Diceros bicornis minor: one gene and its partner. The protein of the gene in region 1 purifies or fractionates together with the protein of each later gene. This does not show direct contact. Links are inferred from orthologs where the notes say so. Each region holds a gene or a part of one and is shown on either strand. Other genes may lie near its edges.

Region 1 (8,340 bases):
TATTTTCCATATGTTCAATACAGCTGTATACCAGATGCTCAAAAAAGAAGCAAAATTAAAAGCAGCTCAGATGATTAATAGTGAGGACACATACTGCATTAGATCCATTCTAAAACACCAGAAAAGCAGTACGTATATTTTGCATTTAGGTAGCTCCTCAGCTCCATTTAGCAATCAGAAGCTATAAGAAATACAATGTGGGCAAATCCACCACATTTCCTTACAAACGCTGAACTAGAAACTCTTATCTCTGACACAAACTCATTCTTAAGCATTGGCATTTTCCTCCTAACACTGTCACAGTCTTTGCCAAAGGATCCCAAATAAATGCTAGTCTCAAGAATTAAGAAGAATTTATATAAATTAATAAAAAATAAAACAATCAATAACAAAATAAAACACCAAAAATTCACCAAAATGACCAAGGTACAGAATTATATATTTTGGTTTAGTTTTTAATGCTTTAAAAACATTATTTAGGGGCCTGCTCCGTGGCTTAGTGGTTAAGTGCTCGCGCTCTGCTGCTGGCGGCCCGGGTTTGGATTCCGGGTGCGCACCGATGCACTGCTTGTCAGGCCATGCTGTGGCGGCGTCCCACATAAAGTGGAGGAAGATGGGCACTGATGTTAGCTCAGGGCCAGTCTTCCTCAGTAAAAAAGAGGAGGATTGGCATGGATGTTAGCTCAGGGCTGATGTTCCTCACTCACACAGAAAAACATTATTTACTCTAAGACATAAGAGACAGAATCTGGTACTACCTATACCTGTCGCGTCTTCCATCTCGGGCACTGCTGTGACTATAACTGGTACATAGTTTACTGAAGGAAACTAGTTTCAGGTCAAGTTCATTTTCCAGCTGTCGAGCCTGTTTCCTCAGATCTTTAAAAAATTATAAAAGCAAATAATTAGACATAACAAGTCCATCAGTAGACATGAAAATCATAAAACTAACCGGAAGAAAACAAACAATGCAAATGATCACATATTGATCTAGATCCTCCCATAAAGAAGTGTTATAAGGACAAAACCAAGTATTTACCCAGGAAAGCAAATTGTCACTTATTTAAACTTCAGATGGGACAAGAAGGGGAGGGACAGTGGGAGACACAAAATTTCAGCTTTATCTCAAAAACAGCTAGACAACAAATGTCCTAACATCCACGAAATTATTTCTATAGCAGTAACTAAAATTTCATAATTTGGAGGAAAACAGAAGAGAATACAAATCACAAAGGAACTGGTTTCTGACCAGCATTATATTAGTTTACCAGCTATCTTTACGACAAGAAACCACGACTGTTTTTGACAGAGATTTTCCTATCTCTTTATGTCCCAAAGCTTTATTAGCCTTATGAAATTCTTAATAGTAGAATGACTTAGCGATTGAGCATAAAGAAAAAATAATCATAGACAAAGATAAAAAAAATTCCTTAAGTTTACTGAAAGAAAGTTGGAGAGGCTGAAACTAACAATAAACAACGAGCCACTAACAGGGTTAGACCTAAGTATGACAGAAATAAGAGCATAAGTTTTAAAACAAACAAGCAAAGAAACTGGTATAGTAGTCTGGCATGTAAGTGGTTGAGTGAGAGAAGCCAAAGTTCAGAAACCCACATCTAGATGTGAGTACTCTCATTCATGGTGAAGCAAGGTCCAAATAAAAGGGCTGAAACGTAGGAAGGAATAATGTAAGGATCTCATCTTTCCGGAATAAGGAATACAAAACATTATTTCAATATACTTATCAGCCAGAAGTAAAAAGCAGAGTAATACAGTGGAGAACATTTGCCCAGAGACCAAATCTCAGTTAGAATCTCAGCTCAGCCTAAAAATCTGAGATTCTAAGAACTGGCTCTGTGATTTATTGACAATCTACTTTATGCACCTCAGCTTTTTGTTTTTTAAACCCCTACTTTCGAGATTTTTCTATGCATTAGTAATCATGTGTTTAAAGCCCCTAGCACAGAGTAGGTTGTCAATAATAAGCTCTATAATTATTATAGCACGGTGCGTCAAAAAACCATAGTCTACTGACTTGTATTAAAGATACCAACAGCCACTTCTACATAATTTAAAAATATTTTCTAGCTAGTACACACATTTCAAATTGGCATTTTAATACGTGTTTTAAACTATAAGCATGCTCTTCTGTAATTAGTAACTGATTTTCTAACAGAAAACATCAAGCAAAAGCACTTTGAAAAGTATAACAGGTAAGTATGGATGAACTTAGAATCAAGTTTCTTAGACCAAGTATCTGATAGTAACAATACTGTTATTTGTGGTGGGTTTCCAGAGGTTTCAGTGGGTAGCAATAGGAAATAGGTTAAAAGGGGTAAGAGATTCTGAGAATAGTTTCTATGCTGCAGTAAAGCAAAGAGACAACTGAAAGAAAAAGGTGAGCCTCCTCTGATTTTTGTTCATCATCACGGTCCAGGAATGAGTTTTAGGTGAGTCCACTTTATCGGACCATATTTTCAGGAATTAAACAAACGTACTTGTCAAATCACAAGACGGTTTTTTGGTAGAAGAGGTATATAGCAAATGCAATAATGACAATTCACAGTGGTTCTCCCAACTTTCTCTTTTTAACAAAACCCATCTCTAGAGCAGAAGGCAAAGTTATTTCCTCCGCCTTCAAAAGCCGACTCGACACCCAGTCCTCGAAGTCCCAGCCTGAAGCTGCCAAGGGGACCCAGTAAGAGACATTCCACTTACACAATTTCCCTCTGTGGACCGGACTGACCAGTTCCTCCTTTCGCTTTTCCTACCCAACTGTCCAACAGCGACCTCAACTCGAACGCGCTGACTCCCCCAGTCTCCTGGGCTCGGATCTTCTCTCTCAACACTCGTTTCCTCTCCGAGCTCGTAGCCCAAGCCCCTTCGTCCAAGTTCCGCTACCCCCTCAACCCAGTCCTCCTCCGCCGACTCAGGCCCCTCTTCCCTCCGTCCCCGCTCAGCCCTCTCTGGCCAACCCTGCCCCAGGTCCCGCTGCCTGGCAGGTCAGCCCCTGGCCCGGACCGTCCGGTCTCCGCCGCCCCCAGGCCCCGGGCTCCCACTAGACGAGCCCCGCCCCTCAGCCCGGCCGCTCCGGAGACCAGGCTCTTTCCTCCGCTGCCTGCCCCAAGCCCCGTCCGCACTCAGCCCCTCTGCCCCTCGGCTGGATCCACCCGGAGGCTTCCCCCTCACCTTCCCAGTAATTGCTGGTTCCTGCCGCCATCTTTGTTGTCCAACGTCAGTCTGGCTAGGAGAGCCGAGGCGCAGCGAGCCACAGAATCACCTCTGAACCTTCTTCCGCCCTGGCGCCAGGGCCGATGGGATACGTGAGCTTCCGCAGACACCGCCACCTGGCGGGCAGTTCATCATTGTACAGCTTTTGAGGAGCGAGGCTGACAAGTTTAGCTTTAGCGCCTGACACTCCCTGAACGTCTGTCATCCTCGTGTTCATATCCGGTCTCCGCGCCCCAAACCTGCATCATCGCCCTCAGCTCGGCTTATCTGCTCTCAGCAAGGGCCTGCTTGGCTGAGAAGAAAATTATCCTCAGACCCAACTCCCTGTTACCCTCACCTTCTCTCAAATGTATATTTCCCTTCTCAGAGTCAGACTCTTTTGGGGTTTTTTTTTGCTATTGAATTGTATGAGTTCTTTATATGTTTTGGATATTAACCTCTTATCAGGTATATGATTTGCAAATATTCTCTCCCATTCCATAGGTTGCCTTTTCATTGTGTTGATGGTTTCCTTTGCTGTACGGAAGATTTTTAGTTTGATGTAGTTCCACTTGTTTATATTTGCTTTTGTTGCCTTTACTTTTGGAGTCAGATCCAAAAAATCGTCGCCAAGACCGATGCTAAGGAGCTTACTGCCTATGTTTTCTTCCAGGAGTTTTGTGGTTTCAAGTCTTACATTCAAGTCTTTAATCCATTTTGAATTAATTTTTGTGTATGGTGTAAGATAGTAGTCTAGTTTCATTGTTTTGCAAGTGGCTGTCCAGTTTTCCCAACACCATTTATTGACGAGACTGTCCTTTCCGCGTTGTATATTCTTGACTCCTTTGTCATAGATTAATTTACCATATATGCATGGGTTTATTTCTGGGCTCTCTATTCTGCTCTGTTGATCTATACGTCTGTTTTTATGCCAAGACCCTACTGTTTTGTTTATTATAGCTTTGTAACGTAGTTTGAAATCAGGGAGAGTGATGCCTCCAGCTTTGTTCTTTCTTCTCAAGATGGCTTTGGCTATTCAGGATCTTTTGTGGTTCCATACAAATTTTAGGATTGTTCTATTTCTGTGGAAAATGCCATTGGAATTTTGATAGGGATTACATTGAATCTGTACCTTGCTTTGGGTAGTATGGACATTTTAACAATATTAATTCTTCTGATCCATGAGCACAGAATATCTTTTTATTTATTTGTGTCGTCTTCAGTTTCTTTCATCAATGTTTTATAGTTTTCAGTGTAAAGGTCTTTCACCTTCTTGGTTAAATGTATTCCTATGTATTTTAATCTTTGATGCAATTATAAATGGGATTGTTTTCTTAATTTCTGTTTCTGATAGTTCATTGTAAGTCAGAGCCAGAGGCTCCTTTCTTCCCGAGACCAACCCCTTGATCCTACCTCTACCTGTGCTCCATTATCCCCCTATCTCTGGTATATGTGCTCTTCTTTTCCACTGGTTGCCTTTTCCTCCGTCTACAGAAGTTATAGTCCCAGCCTTCTTTCCTTTCCAGTCACCAAATCTAGAAAGTATGTGCTAACTGCTTCCACGTGCTCTCATCTTGACCCCTCAGCCCGTTAAAACTGCTGTCCTGGGGCTGGCCTGGTGGTGTAGTGGTTAAGTTTGGCATGCTCCGCTTCTGTGGCTCTGGGTTTGCAGCCCAGATCCCAGGTATGGACCTACGCACCGCTCATCAAGGCATGCTGTGGTGGTGTCCCATACACAAAATGGAGGAAGATTGGCACGAGTGTTGGCTCAGGGACAATCTTCCTCAAGGAAAAAGAGGAAGACTGGCAATAGATGTTAGCTCAGGGCCGATCTTCCTCGCACACAAAACATCTGCTGTCCAAACCCACGCTTTATAGATACATAAATGATCACAGTCTGCTTGTGTCCACGTTTTACCAGTTCTAGTGAAGTGTAGAAACCTTACCTCCTGTAAAGTCCTTTTGCTCAATCCCATTATAATTGCCTTTAGTATTTCCTCTACATTCATTGAGAACCACATCAGATGTTATAATTTTTGCTTCAACTGTCAGACATAATTTACAGAATTCAAAAGGAGAAGGAAAGCCTACTGTATTTACCCATATTTAACTCTTTCTACTTTTCTTTCTTCCTTCCTGGTGTTCCAAGATTCCTTTGTTATTATTTTCTTTCTGTTTCAAGAACTTCCTTGAGACATTTTTTAAAGAGATCAGTTGGAGACAAATGCTATTAATTTTTCCTCATTTGAGAATGTCTTGCTTTCCTCTTCATTCCTGAAAGATATTGTTGCTAGATATAGAATCTGGGGCTGATGATTTCTTATTTTCAGCACTTGAAACATGTGCCAATTCCTTGGGGCCTCCACAGTTTGTGATGAGAAATTGGCCATTATTTGAATTGTTTTTCCCCTATAGCCAAGGTATCTTTTCTCTCTCACTGCTTTCAAAATCTTTTCTTTAGTTTTTAGAAGTTTGATTATGATGTGTCTTGGTGTAGATTTCTTTGGTTTTTTTCCTGTTTGGGGTTTGCTCAGCTTCTTGAATTTTAGGTTTATGTCTTTTGCCAAATTTGGAAAATTTTCAGGCGTTATTTCTTCTAATACTTTTTCTGCCCCATACCCTTTCTCCTCTCCTTCTGAAACTCTGATGACGTAAATGCTAGATCTTTTGTTATAGTCCTGCATATCCCTGAGGCTCTACTAATTTTTTTCAGTCTATTTTTTGTTTTTCTGATTGGGTAATTTCTACTCTTCTGTCTTCAAGTTCACTGACAGCATGTCTGTCCTCTATTCTGCTGTTGAGCCCATTCACTGAGTTTTTTATTTGAATCATTGTATTTTTCAGATATAAAATTTCCATTTGTTTCCTCATTATGTCTTCTATTTCTTTGCTGAGACTTTCTGTTTCTTTGCTGAGCCTCTTTATATTGTTTGTTCTCAGTTTATTTGTAGTTGCTTATTAAAATATTTTTATATTTTTGTCAGATAATTCCAACATCTGTGTCAACTTGATGTTGGCATCTGTTGATTGTCTTTTTTCGTTCAACTTGAAATTTCCTGGGTCCTTGGTATAATGATTGATTTTTCATTATATCCTGGATATTTTAAATATTATAATAAGACTCTGCATCTCATTTAAATCTTCTGTTTAAGCAGAACTCCTCTGACACTGTGCTGGTGGGGGAGGTGGGGAACTGCCTTACCACTACCAGGTAGGAGTGGAAATTCAGGCTCTCCCTTGGGCTGTGTTGATACCTGGGGTTCTGGGTGCCTTATTACTGCTGCCCACATGGCCTCCACTGACACCATGGCCGGGGCCTCATTACCACTGTGTGGTGGTGGAAATCCTGGTTCCCCACTTGGCTTTCTTTGACATTGCCCAGGCAGTGGGGAGCCCTGCTTCATTATGGCCGGGTAACTGTAGAGTCTAGGCTCTCCTCAGCTTTGCTGGCAGTGGGTAAAGATGGGCCTCAGTTTTTTCTGTAGCATTTGGCTGGAGTAGTGCAATTATTGTCTCAAAGTATTCTGTCTTGGTAGGCTGTCCCTTTCCTGGTCCTTTGGCTAGAGAAGGCTTTTCTTTGGGCTTTTTTGGTCTGCATCCTTTGGCACTTTGGGGTTGCCAGCTTCTCCAGAACCCATTATGGGATATATGAGGCAAAAACAAAACTCAGGGAACTTACTACCACGTCGTTCCTTGGATCCTGAGGTTCCTAACTGGTCTGCCTTCTTCTCTCCACCTTTCTGAGTCTTCTTATTTGTTTCATATATAGTATATAAGTTTTTTGCTGTGCTTAGTGGGAGGAAGAGAAGAGAAATACATCTCCATTTTGTCCAGAACCAAAAGCGTCCACTTAATTTTTTAAGATTTTAATTCTCTGCTAAAGTTCTTCATCTTGTCTTCTACTTCCTTGAATTTATTCATCACCATTATTTTAATATTTCTGGTTGATAACTGAAAAATCCGTACCTCCCATGGGAACTTTTCTAATTTTTTTCTTGATCTTTCATCATCTGATACGTCTTTTGATAATGAGTAACTTTTGATTGGATGCTGTATGTTATAGATTAAAATTTGTAGTCATCATTTGAGGCTCCTCTTCCTCAAGAGACAGTTCACTGCTGCTTCTTGCAGGCAGTTGAGGATGGGGCAGATCCGCGTAATCAAGTGTGGGGTGGAACTAATACCAAGTGGGAGTCTATGTTTGTAAAAACTGGACTATTTCTGATTAGCTTTTACTTCTAATGTGTAGCCATCAAGTTTCCTAACTGAAAGCCTGTTTACCATGCCCCCTTCCTTGATAGGTGCTGAACTCATATTTTCCCCACCCAGTAATACTGCCTAGAACTCTGCTTGGGTTCTCTGGCTCTTGCTTGGGTTCTCTGCCTCTTGCCTGGACTCTCTGCTCCTAGGCATCTTTACCTCTTAGTCACCACTTATGAATCAACAAATGTCTCAAGGTGAAAACTACTGTGATGTTCACCCCTGAACTGCCTTTGCTCTAGGATCTTGACCCCATAAGTCCTTGTTACCTTAGTAGCTCTTCAATCCTTCAAACAGGTTTTTCCTTTTTTTTTTTTTTTTAAATCCAGCTTTTCTAATTGTTCTTGATGGGAAGGTCTTTCTGTTTCAAGCCAATACAGCAATAGCTGGAAGTGGAACTAAGTTATCTTATTATTTCTAATTTCTTTGTAGATTATTTTGTATTTTCATACAAAATACATACACCATCATATCTACAAATAGTGACAAAGTTATCAATATTCATATCTGTTTATAATTTCATGCTTCATGGCTGAGATCTCTTCTGTCAATATAGCAAAGTACTTAGTGGGGTTTTTATTGGTTGGTTTTGGTGATAGGGAAGCGTCGTAAGTGCTCCAATTGTGCAGTACTCATCTATCTTGCGGGACTCTTTAATTTCTTTCTTTTGCCTCTTTTCTCTTTCAACACCTGGTTATTAAAGGGTGCTTCTCCTTTCTTTTTCACTTTTTTCCTTCACCAGCAGCTCTGTTTCAAAGACTGCTCCTTTAAATCACCTGCCCCTTTACATTGTGCTCACTTTGAAGCCCCTTCCCTGGAGTTTGTGCTCTGATTGGCTTGGACATGTGTTCAGACCATTCAGACTTAAGG
Region 2 (7,682 bases), on another chromosome or scaffold:
CAGGCAGGGACTGGGGGCTTCTCAACACCATGCCAGAGAGATCCATAAAGAAATCTAAAAAGCAGACTCTGAAAACTTGTTTCCTTGTAGTAACCAGAAGCGAAACCTTCAAGTGTGTGTGTAGGAGTGTCCACATGCTTCTCAGGGAGGACGGGTCTGGCTTCCTGCCTGGCTGGACCACAGAGCAGCTGGAGGATCACCTGAATCATACTGGCGAGCTAATCTTCACTCACTAACGTGGACGGCACAAAAGCAGTGACCACAGCTGCTCAGGAAGGCCAAAGCCAGAGCCATTGGGGAGCCCACACAGCAAGTCCCCTCTGCCTACCTGATGCAGACGCTTCTCCAGGAAGCTAAGGAGGACACGAATCACATCCATGTTCACTCCCAGGAATTCCAGGGAGCCTTCGTGTGGCTCCAGGGTGAGGAGGACGTCCAGACACTTGAGGGGCAAGTTCCCCAGGAGGTTCACCGTGTGGCTGAGGACAGACGGGGAGAGGGGCTTGGTGAATCCAATCCCCCAGCACAGGCACAACCCTTGGTACCTCCTGCTGGGGCTGCATGTGACGTGAACCAGTGTCCAGGGGCCTAAGGAGCAGCACAAGGGGCCCGAGCTGAGGAGAGGACTGCTCTCAGGGGGCACTCCTGCTCAGTGGAGTGGGTCCCCGAGGAGGGGGGCACTCTTATGCAAACACCTCACCTATGACCCTCTGTCTGGGTTGAAGCACCACAGACCACCTCTGGAAAACCAAAACCTGCCTCCAGGGACAGGTCACCGAGAACAGGAATGAGGAACCTACACTGCCCTGTAGATACTACACCATCCACTGCCCCTGCCTAAGGTCCTGGGGCACACTCCTGTTCCCAGACTCGTGGCTCTCGTCCTAGCCATGTACTCTAAGTGCCAGAGCTCTCTGGAAACCCACTGATGTCTAGTCCCACCCAGATGGGTAAAGACTCGCTAGGGTGGAGCCTTGTCCACAACCATGGCTGGCAACCACCATCTAGACACGTGAGCACACTTCCCTCCCAACACAACAGGCCCCACCCTCACCCGTGGAACTCCTCTGTACGGTCTCCAGCAGCAGTGATCATCACACAGTGCCGCAAAAGGGTTCCCAGGTGCTGGTAAAGGGCAGCATCTTCCTGACCAAAGAGTAAGAGGTTCCTGTGAGAGAGAGCCCCACTTGTCCCCCTGCTGCCAGCTGAGATTCCACCGTCTGCCCCACTCCAGGACCAAGTGCACCGATTACACATCTCCCCCACTGCACACCCGGCCCCTCCGCCTCTCCTACACAACCTGAAAAGCACTCTCCTGATTAAGAACGTCAACAGATGTCCTTGGGATTGAGTCACACTCTGTGTTCTGACCCCATGCTCACAGCCTCGTGATTGGGAATCTCCTACACTGTCCCCATGTATCACACAGCTCTCCTGCCAGGCTCCAAAAGCCAAATGTGCTCTCCACCTCCCTCAGAAACCTTCCTTGGGGCCCCTACCCAGGCGTCTCCTCGCCTCCTCCAGTCTTCTCTGAGCCTAACACCCTGAAACTTGAAGGCACCCAACAGGGAAGCAGATCCAGGAAACATTCAAGCTGTTAAGCCCCACCCACGGGTTCAGATCAGCTCTCTTCTTACCTGGTCCACCTCTCTCTTTATGGAGTCGAAAGTGATGTTGAAGAGCACTTTGAGAATTTCCATGGCCCGCTCAGTCTCCTGGGGAGGAAGGAGCGCAGGGGGGCTCTCTTCCGGGCTCATTCCCAGGGTCAGCTCCAGCGCATCTGTCAGCAGGTGCACTCCCCGCAGCTCCTGAAACAGCTGCAGGCGCACGTCGGTGCGAAGCGCAGTTAGCAAGAAAAGAAGGCGCAAATCAAAGAACTGGACGTCGTGAGGAAAGCTGCTCTTGCGGTACAGCCCTACGCGCTCTGCGAGTCTCACCACCAGGCGAGCCTCTGCTGCCAGCACCTGTGCCACCGGGCTGCTGAGCACGAGGTTGCACAGGCACTTGAGGGACTCGAGGACAACGTCCATGTCCAGGGGCTCGGGGACCGAGCCCCCGGAGGCGGAGATCCCAGCATAGCAGGCAAATGCCTGCAAGCTCTGGCGGCTGGTAAATGGGTCCAGGCAGCTGCGGTCCCTGGACAGGATGCGGATGCTCTGCAGCCAGGTGACGCGGCGGGACGGTGGCAAGCCCTGCTCCAGGACCGAGGCCAACAGCTCCGCCAGTCTCTGTGGGCGGGGAGTAGAGCGGCTCCACCAGGCTCCCCGACCCGGGGCCCCCGTCTCTGCCCCTTACCCCTCGGTCAGCACCCACCTTCCTGTCCTCCTGCTGGGCGTCATCGAATGTGAAGCTCTGGGAGTTCTGCAGGGAAACCCAGGGGCTCATGGAGCGCAGGTCCGCACGGGCAGATCCCGGCCTCCGAGATGAGGCCCGAGGCTGCAGGCGCCGCTCCGAACAGATGGCGCCCCGCACACCTGCCCCCAGGTGCGCACGTGACTCCAACCAGCGACTCCTCGTAGGCTCGGCGCCCCTTCCTGCCGCTCCCTTCCACCCTCGGGCCCCGCCGCAGTCACCCACCCCTCCGCCGGCCGCGCCCACCCGGCCCACCGCCTCCTTGCGCGCCCCACGACTCCCGCTCACCTCCTGGTTGTACGCGAGCAGAGCCTCCATAACCACGTTCTCTTCCCCCGTTTGCACGGCATCGGCCACCGCCCGGGGCTCCATGGCGTCTCCAGTACTTGGCGCCCGGAAGGCGGGACGTGGCTCCGCAGCCCCGGGCCTGAGTCCGCCAGCCCCGCCCTGGCTCCGCGCGCGGGGGAGGCCGGGACGGGGCAGCGCGCGCCTTAAGGTGGCGCGCTTTAAGGTGGCGAGACTTGGAACAGCCTCCTAGAGCGTGAAGGCTTTGCCGCCCGGGCTTCAAGATCCGACTCGGTGATCGTCCGACCTCAGGTCCCGAGACGCCCCCGAACCGAAGAGTGACCCTCGGGAATTCTCGGGCAGGAATTCCTGGCGGAGACGACCTCAGCCCCACCCCCCGCCCCTCTTGATGAACAGGACGGACAGGATGTCGCGGGTACAGCCACGGTGGGAAGGGCTGCCAGCCCCCGCACCACTTGGTTTGTTAAACGGGCGTTTGGGCGCCTACTACACGCGAGGCGCCGTGATGCGGGCGAACAGGACCCGCGGACCCTGCCTTCGCGGACCTTATGTTCCCAAGGCGAGGACAAACAAGGACGATTTTAGGCAGGCGGTGCCGTGACTGGAAGAGGAGAGGCTGCTGGGCTGCAGAGAGGTCTGAGGTGCCGGACGAGAGGGGAGCCAGGAAGATCTGGGGACGGGCATTCAAGGCACGGGGGAACGGCCAGGTGGGAGAGAAACGGACCTCGTTGGGGCTGAGGAAGGCTTACGGTCAGGGTCAGGAGGAGAGCAGAGCTCCACAGTGCGCGGCGGCTCCTCGCTGCGCAACCCAGACACACGATCGGCCTGGACTCAGGCCTCTTTCTCGAAGAGCAGAGAAGACCAAAGTCGCCCTTCCAGTGGGTTGTCGGGAGAACTCAGTAATACAGCGGATGCCCCCGCAGTGGCGGGCGACTTGCCCTGCAACAGGCGCCGGTCGAGCGTCCACTCGGCCGGGCCCTGGGTCGGCGCCAGCGCACAAGCAGCAGCCCCACCCACTGTCCGGCTCCCCGTCCTCGTCGGGGGCGTCCCGGGCCCCGAGCACCACCTGGTCCGCCAGCAGTCACCGCGCCGCAGCCCGGCGGGCCGGGGGACCTCGGGGCCGGTCCCTCGGCGCGCCCAGCCCCGCCCGTCGCCCGGGAGAGGGCCCGCGAGCTCCTCCCACTTCGGGCCTGACGCCGTCCCGGAGGCGTGGCTGATAGAGGCGTCTGGACACCGGAGCTGGCGTTAAAAACGCTAACCCTAGGCGGTCCTAGTCAGGCGGAGGAACCAACATCAGGCCACTTCCGTCCCCACCCGGGCGCCCTGCGCCCCGCGGCCGGAGCCTCCGCCGGAAGTCGGCGGGCGCGCGGCGGAGGGGGCGGTGACCTCCGCCGGAAGTAGGCGGGGCCAAGGCGGAAGCGGCGACGCCGGAAGCTCGTTCCCGCGGCTGCGCCACGTCCGCCGCGGCAGGGGCCGGGTAGGCGACGGAGCCGGGGCCCGGAGCCGGCACGATGGCGGACTGGGCTCGCGGTGAGCGCGGGAGAGCAGAGCCGGATGGCGTCGGGGCCGGCCGTAATCGACGCCGCTGCCCGCAAGAGCTGCGTCCGCGCGGCCCAGCCCGCTGGGTGGTCTCGGCGGGGAGGCCCTGCGGGCGCTGGCGGCTGCGCTGTGGGCGGGTCGTGGGGTCCCTGCGTCGCGGGGCCCGGCTGCCCGGAGTTCGTACCCCTCTGTCCCTGTCAGATGGTTCTGCTGGCACCCCGGCCGGCCTCACGGTCGCGGAGGCCAGCCCCTAGGAGGGAGGCTGCGTGGTGGGAGGGCAGCCCCTTCGCCCTCTGGGAGCCCGTGTTCTCGTCTGCGATGTGGGATGCTGATGCCTGTCTCGCCGGGCTCTTGTGACCGTTGAGAAGTTAATGAACGTGAGGGGGTTGGTAGAACGCCAACACTCCTTCCTTTGGCGTCTGTATCCATCTGTGGTTCCTAGAGCTGCACCCCCATTAGATGGGTCACGTGGAGGCATCTGGCCCGGGGCAAGTTTGCACTCGGAACTGGGGGGACGCGGTTCTCACCCACCTGATGTGACAGTAATGCCGAACCGCCTGGCCGCTCCCTAGTCATGGGACCGGTCTTAGCAAGCACTGTGCTCGGTGTCATATAAGGCCCTGGGTGGGGTGCAGAGGTGAGCAGGCCCAGGCCCTGCCCTCGGGATCGACCTCAGCGCCCCCGTTTTTGGGTGTTGGGGAGCTGTGCTGAGTTGTCTCCTCCCTGGTTACCTGTCATCTCTTGAGGACCGAGTTCACAGGTCGTCCCTGCAGGGGTCTTCCTGCTGCCCCCCCACCAGTCTTTCCTTGGTCCATACCAGAGTTTACTGTTTTTCTCTGGGAACAGGTCTCTTGTACGCTGATAGTAATGTCTGTGGAGGGATGGTGCAGGTTCTGTCACAGAGTATCAGAAAGTGCCGGTTGGGCTGATCCTTTGAGGCTGTACATGTTGGGGATGCCTGTCCACCCTGGCCTGGATGTGTACACAGGACATGTGGTCACGTGATGGGTGCCCGCACACGCTGTTGTTGACACAGCCTGTCTCACGTGTGTGTGAAGTCCTTACACCGGATCCTGGGTTAGGGCTGGACTTGTTCATCAGACACAGGTGGGCCTAGTCCCGCCAGATTCCGACTCAGGTATATGGGATTGTAGTGAGAGAGTCCTGAGGCCACGAAGGGCTGACATCCAGGGGTCAAGGGCAGTGCTCATGGGTGGATGCACCCCTCAGCCTCTCTTTCTCCTTGCAGCTCAGAGCCCTGGCGCTGTGGAGGAGATTCTAGACCGGGAGAACAAGCGAATGGCCGACAGCCTGGCCTCCAAGGTCACCAGGCTCAAATCGGTCAGTGGTGGTCCTCCTGTTTCACCTCCACCTGGCACCTTGGAGCAGGGATCAGAGGGAGGGTAGAGGCTTGGAAGGGTTTCATGTAGTTCTCATCTTCCTTGTCCCATCCGTGGCAGCACTCTCTTGTGTGAGGCCTAGGTGATACCTGGACCTCCTGATCTCTGCTGGTGGTACTGTGTCTGGCAGAATCGTTGGTTGGGTCTGCTGGTCTCATGGAGGGTCAAGCACCATCCAGTGTCTTCCCTGGCCTGACCCTGCCCCCTCTGTGTCCTGATCAGCTTGCCCTGGACATCGATAGGGATGCAGAGGACCAGAACCGGTACCTGGATGGCATGGTAAGGGTCTGCAGCGTGCGTGAGTGTTTCGGTCAGCTCTGCCCCACACTGCCTGCTATATAGGTCCCCAGTGTCTCCTGCAGCACTCTCCTGTGGGTCTTGGAGGGTCCACCCCTGTGTGATCGTGTTGGGATTCCTCCCTCAGGACTCGGATTTTACAAGCATGACGGGCCTGCTCACGGGGAGTGTGAAGCGCTTTTCCACAATGGCGCGATCTGGGCGAGACAACCGGAAGCTTCTGTGCGGTATGGCCTTGGGACTCATCGTGGTCTTCTTCATCCTCTCCTACCTTCTGTCGAGGGCAAGGACGTGAACCAGTGGGAGCTGGCGTCTGTGGGTGCACAGGGCAACCAGCATCTTCCTCTACCTGGTGTCCTGGGCTCCAGAGGACCTTCCTACAAAATACTCCTTTGGAACGATGATCGTGGCTTAGGAATCTTCTTCCTGTGTGGCTGGGAGCCCATGGCTGCTTCTGGCCCAGTGAGATCATGTTGGCTGTCCCATGTTGCTGGTCCCATGCAGACATGGGACCCTTTCCTTTGGGGAAACCAAGGCCCAGCACCCTCTGCCACTCCAGGTGCTAGAGGTGCCAACAGAGCCAGGTCTGAGCAAAGGAGCTAGGAATCCTGGACGTGGCTACCTGTGGTCAGTCCTTCCCCCAGCCCTAGGGGCTCTGATGTCTCCAGGCACCTCTGCCCCATCCTTGTCTAGGTAAGGCCACGTCTGGTGTCTGAGGTGCCTGGAGCTGATAGAGAAGGGGTGTTTCTGTGAAGCTCCAGGCAGCACTGTCTGTTCCAACCGACAGTCTCAGCCTAGAGATGGTGGTTATTCCTGGCCAGGGGTCCTGAGCATGGGTGGACCAGTGAGGCCTCTGTGCCTGCTCTCTAGTCCCATGGCTGAAGCCAGACCCTTGGGGAAGTGCAGGGGGTTGTGGATGAGGAGTGGGCTGCAGCCTTGGCTGGAGGCACTGGGCCCGGATCCTTCTGGATTTTGTGGTCATGTATTCCAGGAGCAGAAATTCATATTTTGTCAGGATGCGGAATCTCCCCAGCGCCAAATATGTGTTTTTGGAGACTAGATGTCTAGAAACAGGCCCATTTGGTATTTCAGAGTCAGTCAGGGTATGGGAGTGAGGGGGACCTTTTGTGGGCCCAGACAGGAGGCTTTCCTGTAAGGACTTTCTTCATAGGACCTGTAAGTCACTTCTTGAGGATCACCAGGCAGTTTTTCCTCCACCAGGCCCAGCCCTTCCTCCCACAGCAAGTCTCTCCTTGCTGTGAGGGAGGTCTGAGCCACACCCTCCTCCCCAGCGTCTGCAGATGGCCCTCCCTGCCCCCCTCTCCCAGGGCCCTCACTGCCCACTTGGCCAGCCCCGTGCTCACACCAACTGAAGCACAGGCCCAGCTGGATCACTCGCCTCTTCTCTCCCCACAGCAAGATCCCAGCAGCTTTGTGTTCCCATGAAAACACTTGTAAGAAACGAGTTTTTGGCTTTTTGTGCTTCCTTGTCCTTGTTCCCATCTTTCCCAGTCACTCTTCTTTATTCCTGGAATACTGTTGGCTCATCATCCACCCACCCACACTGTTACACCACATGTGGTCACACATGTGGACCACGCATCAGCCACAGCCTGGCGCTTGTCAGCTCCTGACGCCCCCATGCTCTGGTCTTCATCCCTGGGCACCTTGCCTTCTGCCCTTCTCCCTTCTCCTTCCTCTCCCTCCTCTGTCCATCAGGCCCAACCCCTCCTCACCATAGTGCTCTCCTCCCTTCCATCGGACTTGGCTGGGCCCCTTAGTCTCCTG

What was found.
Region 2: the proteins of GOSR1 (region 1) and BET1L purify together in Homo sapiens (affinity purification with western blotting; 3 studies listed by BioGRID and IntAct, with this or other methods). This does not show direct contact. The link is inferred for Diceros bicornis minor from reciprocal best matches to the Homo sapiens genes GOSR1 and BET1L.

What each region holds. Positions count from the first base shown.
Region 1 is NC_080757.1:17,341,842-17,350,181, forward strand, and holds the start of GOSR1 (Golgi SNAP receptor complex member 1), read right to left. Parts: upstream 3,293-8,340; 5' UTR 3,221-3,292; coding exon 3,190-3,220; intron 880-3,189; coding exon 759-879; intron 1-758. UniProt on the Homo sapiens protein: Involved in transport from the ER to the Golgi apparatus as well as in intra-Golgi transport. It belongs to a super-family of proteins called t-SNAREs or soluble NSF (N-ethylmaleimide-sensitive factor) attachment protein receptor.
Region 2 is NC_080770.1:17,632-25,313, reverse strand, and holds the start of BET1L (BET1-like protein), read left to right. Parts: upstream 1-4,207; 5' UTR 4,208-5,406; coding exon 5,407-5,538; intron 5,539-5,819; coding exon 5,820-5,876; intron 5,877-6,021; coding exon 6,022-6,189; 3' UTR 6,190-7,682. Other genes in the region: RIC8A (synembryn-A), read right to left, coding at 329-479, 1,055-1,146, 1,638-2,228, 2,314-2,361, 2,641-2,724. UniProt on the Homo sapiens protein: Vesicle SNARE required for targeting and fusion of retrograde transport vesicles with the Golgi complex. Required for the integrity of the Golgi complex.